Macaca fascicularis: one gene and its partner. The protein of the gene in region 1 binds, or shares a complex with, the protein of each later gene. Links are inferred from orthologs where the notes say so. Each region holds a gene or a part of one and is shown in the gene's direction. Other genes may lie near its edges.

Region 1 (3,811 bases):
TGACTTTCAGCAAGTCCCTTCCTCCTTCTGGGCCTCAGTTGCTCCCTCTATAAAATAAGGAGGCTGACAACACTTGTTCTCTATTTACCCTCCAGTGAACCTTGCCTGTGTCTCCTAAAAGAGCTGTGCAGCTTGAATTCCTCTAACAGCCGGGATGGGGGTTCCCCCAGAGCAAATGCACCTCAGGCTCCATTTCCATGGGCAGCAGAGCCAGGGCCTGTCACAGCACGATGTGACCCTTTCGTGGGTGGGGAGGTGGATGCCTGATGCTGACTTGCTTCTTTCCTTTCTGTCCTCCCTGCCTCCACCAGCGACCCAACTTTTGGCAAGAAGAGCTTTGAGCAGACCTTGACAGTGGAGCTCTGTGGCACGGCAGGTGAGCCAGGGGGCTTCCACTGGCAGGTGCCTTCAGGAAAACACCCGTACATCTCTGAGTTTTTCATCATGCATGGGCAAGGTGCCACGTAATGAACAATGCACAAGATGCCTGCCTTCATGGGGCTTATGTTATAGGCAGTCAAAAAACAAACAAAAAAGGAAGATCGTTACAAATTGCAATAGATACCATAAAGAAGACTCACTGGGAATGAACCAGGATTACAGGCATGAGCCACCGCGCCCAGCCCCGGTGGGCAGTTTTACCTGCGGTGCCTGCCCCCTGTCCGTCATGGGAAACACCAGAGGCATATGAGAGGTATAGTTGGGAGGGTTTGTTGAATGATTGGATGTAGATCAGGAAGAGGTATTTGGAAGATTGGGAGGTTCCAGCTGCCATTAGTAGGTCACAGAAGGGATGGCAAATGGATTTCATCACATGCCAACTCCAAAGAATTGAAGGATTCCCAGGCTACCTCCAGGCTCAGCCAGCAGTGCAGTGATCAGTTAGTGATGCCTGCCATCCACTGGGTTGGGGGAGTAAGGGCACTTGGCCATTTTATTGCCATCCCAAACTAGGGTCTTTTTAAAATTTTATTTTATTTTATTTTTTCGAGACATAGTCTCACTATGTTGCCCAGGCTGGAGTGCAGTGGCACAGTCTTGACTCACTGCAACTTCCTGCTCCTGGGTTCAAGCAATTCTCATGTCTCAGCCTCCAAAGTAGCTGGGATTATAGGCATGTACCAACAAGCCTGGTTAATTTTTTTGTATTTTTAGTAGAGACATGATTTCGCCATGTTGGCCAGGCTGGTCTTGAGCTCCTGGATTCAAGTGATCCACTCACCTCGCCCTCCCAAAATGTTGGGATTATAGGTGTGAGCTACCATGCTTGGCCCCAAACTTAGGGTCTCAGTGTCCCTTGGAGAAGTGATCTGTCTTTATCTTACCTTTCTCCTCTTGCTTGGGCAGGACTCACCCCACCCACCACACCACCGTACAAGCCCACAGAGGAGGATCCCTTCAAGCCGGACATCAAGCACAGCCTGGGCAAAGAAATAGCTCTCAACCTCCCCTCCCCTGAGGGCCTGTCACTCAAGGCCACCCCAGGGGCTGCCCATAAGCTGCCAAAGAAGCACCCGGAGCGGAGTGAGCTCCTGTCCCACCTGCGACATGCCACGGCCCAGCCAGCCTCCCAGGCTGGCCAGAAGCGTCCCTTCTCCTGTTCCTTTGGAGACCATGACTACTGCCAGGTGCTCCGACCAGAGGGCATCCTGCAAAGGAAGGTGCTGAGGTCCTGGGAGCCGTCTGGGGTTCACCTTGAGGACTGGCCCCAGCAGGGTGCCCCTCGGGCTGAGGCGCAGTCCCCTGGCAGGGAGGAAGACAGAAGCTGTGGTGCTGGCGCCCCACCCAAGGACAGCATGCTGCTGAGAGACCATGAGATCCGAGCCAGCCTCACCAAACACTTTGGGCTGCTGGAGACCGCCCTGGAGGAGGAAGAACTGGCCTCCTGCAAGAGCCCAGAGTATGACACTGTCTTTGAAGACAGCAGCAGCAGCAGTGGCGAGAGCAGCTTCCTCCCAGAGGAGGAAGAGGAAGAAGGGGAGGAGGAGGAGGAGGACAATGAAGAAGAGGACTCAGGGGTTAGCCCCACTTGCTCTGACCACTGCCCCTACCAGAGCCCACCAAGCAAGGCCAGCCGGCAGCTCTGTTCCCGCAGCCGCTCAAGCTCTGGCTCCTCATCCTGCCACTCCTGGTCACCAGCCACTCGGAGGAACTTCAGGTATGAACAGGGGGCCGCAGGAGAGGCAGCGGGCAGTGGAGGACCCCAGTTCCCAGGGAACCAGGAGCCCCAGGCGGGAGGATCCCCGGGAAACTTGCTCTGAAACTGAGGCTGCATTTCCCTGTGTGGCCCATGTCCTGGTCAGAGGCCTTGAAGGTGGTCTTCTGGGGCAGTTGTGGGTGAGTCCTGGAGGCAGGCAAAGCCTGGTGTGTGAAATCGGGAGTGTCCCAAATATCCTGGCCTCTAGAAAGAAAGAAAACCCACTTCCTGGCTGTTTGTGGGCTTATGTCTAAAGGAACTTGTCCCTTACCCATCTGTGTTTTTTGCTTTTATATTTGTAAAATGGATAGGTTTTTGTGCAAACATACATGCCCCAACATTTGAATTCTGGAGATGTTTACATGTAAAAGAAAGATGAGTGTAATTCTAATCTGTGCTCCGGAAAATGCCTGGACAATAAAGCATTGATAAGGTTTCTGGGTCCTGCTGAGGTGCGCCGTGGCTTTCACCAGTCGGCTGCCCCTTGAAGGGCTTTGACCTCAGTGGAGGGATGATGCCTCATGAGCCCGCTTGCTCGTATCATCCTCGCTCGCTCAACCAGACTGGAGAAGAAGCCAGTCCAAAAGTCAGCTGGGGAGCTGGCCAGAAAAAAAATGGAGGTTTGGCAGAGTCGGAGGGTACTGGTCGCTTCTCTATGATCACAGTGGGTCCTGATTCTCCCTGGGGAAGGCTTGAGGAGGGTCAGTGTCGTCATCCCCAGCCCTGTGTTGAGGTGAGGCCAAGTGGCCACTAGATGCTGCTCTTGGGCTAGAGCCCAGCTGCAGAACCCGCTGCAGGATTTGTTGGGCCTCCACTGGCCGGCCCACACGGCCCACACCCGGGTATCTGATCTGTAGGTCTGGGGTGGGGCAGGGGCAGGGATTGGCGTTTCCAACAAGTCCCCAGGTGATGCTGATGACATTGCTAGAATATCATACTCTGAGACCAGAATTTAGGTCTTGTGAAGATACTTCTTCCCTTCTAAAGGGACTAGCAAAAAAAAAAAAAAATTTTTTTTGTTAAATAAAAATGTAAAAAGACTACAGCTTTATACACATCGACAACAAGGGCTTTTAACTGTTTGAAAACCTGATTAAAGCAAAGGCCCATCTTCCCATTAAAATGTGCATACACATCTAACTGGGCATTCAATTTTAGGGGGTTTGTGGGCTCTCCACAAACTATTATTAAGAAGCCCTAAATTTTTTGTTCCTCAAAGGGAGGTCTGCAGCAATTTCTCCAGTGAGCCCTTACTGTAGAAGCCAAGATTAGTCAGTCACAGCTGCCTTCTGCCGACTGTGCTGAGCCTCTCTTTCTGGCTCCGTTCTTTCCCCAGGGGGTAGCTTCTGCCCTACAGTGTTCCAATGTCAAAGGTTTGGCTTCAACCTTGCTTTGCTGTGAGCTAAAGCACTCCATCTCCACATTAGGCAGTGTCCCAGGTTCTCTTCATGTTGAAATACATCCCCCAAGCTGGAGCTTCCCTGGCCTCCTTTCTCTCCTGCCCGGCTCAGAGGTGTTTGGACTGGGCCTGCATTCATAGAATTGCCTGGGAAGAGTCGAGAACTTCTCAGAAACCCCCATGGATTTTCCTTTTTCTTTTCTCACTTTTGGGCC
Region 2 (3,811 bases), on another chromosome or scaffold:
TCTGTGGGTTTTCACAAATGCATAGTGTCATATATCCACCACTACATTTTCCTTCTCTCTCTTTCTTGCATTCTTGTCTCACTCTGTCACCCAGGCTGGAGTGCAGTGGCACAATCTCGGCTCACTGCAACCTCCACCTCCCGGGTTCAAGCCATTCTGCTGCCTCAGCTTCCCGAGTAGCTGGGACTACAGGCACGCATCACCATACCTGGCTAATTTTTTTGTATTTTTAGTAGAGATGACGTTTCGCTATGTGGGCTGGTCTCAAACTCCTGACCTCATGATCCACCCACTTCAGCTTCCCAAAGCGCTGAGATTACAGGCGTGAGCCACCATGCCCGGTCTCTCTTTCTTTTTCTTTCTTTCCTTCGTTCTTTCTTTTTCTCTTTCTCTCTTTCTCTCTTTCTTTTTCTATTCTATTCTATTCTATTCTATTCTATTCTATTCTATTCTATTCTATTCTACTCTACTCTTTTTTTAGATGGAGGTCTCACTGTGACACCCAGGCTGGAGTACAGTGGCAGCACAATCTCAGCTCCCTGCAGCCTCAGCCTCCCAGGGCTCAGGTGATCCTCCCACCTCAGCTTCCCAAGCAGCTGGGATTAGAGGTGCACACTGCCATGCCCAGCAAATTTATGTATTTTTTGTAAAGACAGGGTTTGACCATGTTGCCCAGGCTGGTCTCAAACTCCTGAGCTCAAGTGATCTGCCGACCTCAGCCTCCTAAAGTGCTGGGATGACAGGCATGACCCACCGTACCCAGACCACTGTTACATTTTCGTATGAATAGTCTCACCACATCAAAAAACCCCATGCTTCACCTATTCGACCCTGCCTCTCCCACCCCTAGCCAGCTCAGAAATGGTTCTTTTTACCGTTGCTATAATTTTGCCTTTTCCAGAATGCCATGAATTTGAAGTCATATAGTATGTAGCCTTTTCAGACTGATTTCTTTTATAACAATATGCATTTAAGAGTCATTCATGTCTTTCCATGGCTTGATACCTAATTTCTTTTTACACTGAATGAAGTCCCACTGTCTGTTTGTACCACAGTTTGTATATCTATTCACCTATTTAAGGGCATCTTGGTTGCTTCCAATTTTTGGCAATTAAGAATAAAGCTGGCCGGGCGCAGTGGCTCACACCTATAATCCCAGCACTTTGGGAGGCCAAGGGGGGCAGATCACTTGAGGTCAGGAGTTTGAGACCAGCCTGGCCAACATGGTAAAACCCTGTCTCTACTAAAAATACAGAAATTAGCTGGGCATGGTGATGGGTGCCTGTAATCCCAGCTACTTGGAAGGCTGAGGCAGGAGAATCACTTAAACCTGGAGGCAGAGGTTGCAGTGAGCTGAAATTGTGCCACTGCACTCCAGCCTGGGTGACAGAGTGAGACTCTGTCTCAAAAAAAAAAAAAAAAAAAAAAAAAAAAAAAAAAAAAGCTGCTCTAAACTTGTGTAGGTTTTGTGTGGACAGAAGTTTCCAAATCAACTGGACAAATACCTACGAGTGTGATTCCATCATACAGTAAAACTGCTTTGCTTTGTCAGAGACTGCCAGAATGTCCTCCAAGGGGGCTGTCTCATGTTGCACTCCCACCAGCAATGAATGGGGGTTCCTGTTGCTCCACATCCTCACCAAATTTGATGATGTCAGTTTTGTGGATTTTGGTCATCCTAGTAGGTGTGTGGTGACACCACATTGTTGTTCTCATTCTCAATGCCCCAATGACATATGATGCTGAGCATCGTTTCATATGCTTACATGCCATCTGTATATCATCTTTGCTGAAGTGACTGTTCAGATCTTTTGCCCATTTTTTTTTTCCTTTTGAGACGTAGTCTTGCTCTGTCACCAGGTTGGAGTGCAGTGGCATGATCTCAGCTCACTGCAGCCTCCGCCTCCCGGGTTCAAGCGATTCACCTGCCTCAGCCTCCCAAGTAGCTGGGACTACAGGCGCACGACACCACGCCCGGCTAATTTTTGTTATTTTTAGTAGAGACGGGGTTTCACCGTGTTAGTCAGGATGGTCTCCATCTCCTGACTTCGTGACTGCCCACCTTGGCCTCCCAAAGTGCTGGGATTACAGGCGTGAGCCACCACACCTGGCCGCCACACGCAGCCCCCATTTTTCAATTGAGTTGTTTGTTTTCTTATTGTTGTTTTAAGACCTCTTTGTATATTACCACATGTGTATTGAAAATATTTTCTCCCAGTCTGTGGCTTGTCTTTAATTTTCTTAGCAATGTGTTTTGCAGAGCAGAAGGTTTAATTAGCTTTCATAAATTCCAACTTATATTTTCTCTTTCATGGATTATGCATTTGGTGTTACCCACACAGATTTTTATACTGTATTCTGGTGCCATTTACTGAGTTGGCAATTGTGGAAGAACTGGAAGGAAAGAAGCAAACAAAAAGAGTTCTGTGTGGCACTGTCAGCGCGGGGGCACGGGGAGTCCTGCAGGGTGAGGTATGGGCGAGATGGTCTGGTGATGTGTGCAGCGGAGATGTGCGGTCCCCGGATGTGCAGATCAGGAGATGTGTGGGTCTGATGTACCGGTCTGGAGAAGTGCGGTTCCCAAGATGTGCGGTCCGGAGATGTGCGGGTACCCAGAGGTGCAGATCGGAGATGTGGGGGTCCGGAGATATGCGGATCAGGAGATGTACCAGTCCCGAGATGTGCGGATCAGAGATGTAGAGGTCCCGAGATGTGTGGATCCGGAGAGGTGAGGGTCCCAAGATGTATGGAGCAGGAGTTGAGGGAGTCCGGAGATGTGCGGAGCGGAGATGGGGGGATCAGGAGATGTGGAGGGCCAGGAGATACGCGGGTCCGGAGATGCGCAGATCAGGAGATGGGCGAATCGGAGATACGTGGGTCCAGAAATGTGCGGAGCGGAGATGTGCGAATCAGGAGCTGTAGGGGGTCAGGAGATGCACGGGTCCAGAGATGCGGGGGTCCGGAGATAGTGGGTCTGGAGATATGCAGAACAGAGATGAGCAGATCGGAAATGCACGGGTCCAGAGATCCACGGGTCCAGAGATCTGCGGTTCCGGAGATGCACGGGTCCGGAGATGCGCAGGTCCGGAGATGAGAATCTGAAGATGTGTGGATGGGAGATGTGCAGGTCCGGAGATGCGCGGGGCGGCGATGCGCTGATTGGAGATGCTCGGATCAGAGATGCTCAGATCGAAGATGTCGGAATGAGGAGATGTGCAGGGCGGAGATGTGTGGATTGGAGACACTCGAGTCCGGAGATATGCGGGGCGGAGATGCGTGGGTCTAGGGATGCGTGATCTGAGATGTGTGGGTCCGGAGCTCGGGGTCAGCTCAGCAGCAGTCGGAGCGAGCATGCTGGCTTTGGGAGCACAGCACAACGGCAGCTGTAGGAGTGCAAGAGGGTGTGACCCAGAGGCAGGGCCCGGCCCTGCATGGGTATTCTGAGGTTTACGCCTCAGCATTAGATGCCTCATATGCTAAATCACATCCTCGTAGACCCGGTTCAGACACAGGATAGTGATGCCTGGACTATTCATCTGTCTCTCCTCTTTTTCCCCAGACACGCTTTCACCAGCTTCGAGCCCCTCCTCGGTGACTTATCCTGTGGTCCCCGGCAGCGTGGACGAGTCTCCCAGTGGAGCATTGAACATCGAATGTAGAATCTGCGGGGACAAGGCCTCAGGCTACCATTACGGAGTCCACGCGTGTGAAGGCTGCAAGGTAGAGGGGACCTGGAACAGGGCCCGGTGGCTGCCACCATCAACCACTTGTGGTTACTTTTATAGCAAATGGCAGTCATTACTGAGAGATT

Evidence for each region.
Region 2: the proteins of PPARGC1B (region 1) and PPARA are in contact, whole or in part, in a crystal structure (PDB 3SP6), measured with the Homo sapiens proteins. The link is inferred for Macaca fascicularis from reciprocal best matches to the Homo sapiens genes PPARGC1B and PPARA. Residues at the interface, in NP_573570.3 of Homo sapiens: Ser154, Leu155, Leu156, Gln157, Leu159, Leu160, Leu161, Thr163; in NP_001001928.1 of Homo sapiens: Val284, Thr285, Thr288, Glu289, Lys292, Phe297, Leu302, Asn303, Gln305, Val306, Leu309, Pro458, Leu459, Glu462, Ile463.

Annotation. Positions count from the first base shown.
Region 1 is NC_088380.1:156,714,244-156,718,054, forward strand, and holds part of PPARGC1B (peroxisome proliferator-activated receptor gamma coactivator 1-beta), read left to right. Parts: intron 1-311; coding exon 312-376; intron 377-1,347; coding exon 1,348-2,158; intron 2,159-3,811. UniProt on the Homo sapiens protein: Plays a role of stimulator of transcription factors and nuclear receptors activities. Activates transcriptional activity of estrogen receptor alpha, nuclear respiratory factor 1 (NRF1) and glucocorticoid receptor in the presence of glucocorticoids.
Region 2 is NC_088384.1:5,378,341-5,382,151, reverse strand, and holds part of PPARA (peroxisome proliferator-activated receptor alpha), read left to right. Parts: intron 1-3,559; coding exon 3,560-3,720; intron 3,721-3,811. UniProt on the Homo sapiens protein: Ligand-activated transcription factor. Key regulator of lipid metabolism. Activated by the endogenous ligand 1-palmitoyl-2-oleoyl-sn-glycerol-3-phosphocholine (16:0/18:1-GPC). Activated by oleylethanolamide, a naturally occurring lipid that regulates satiety.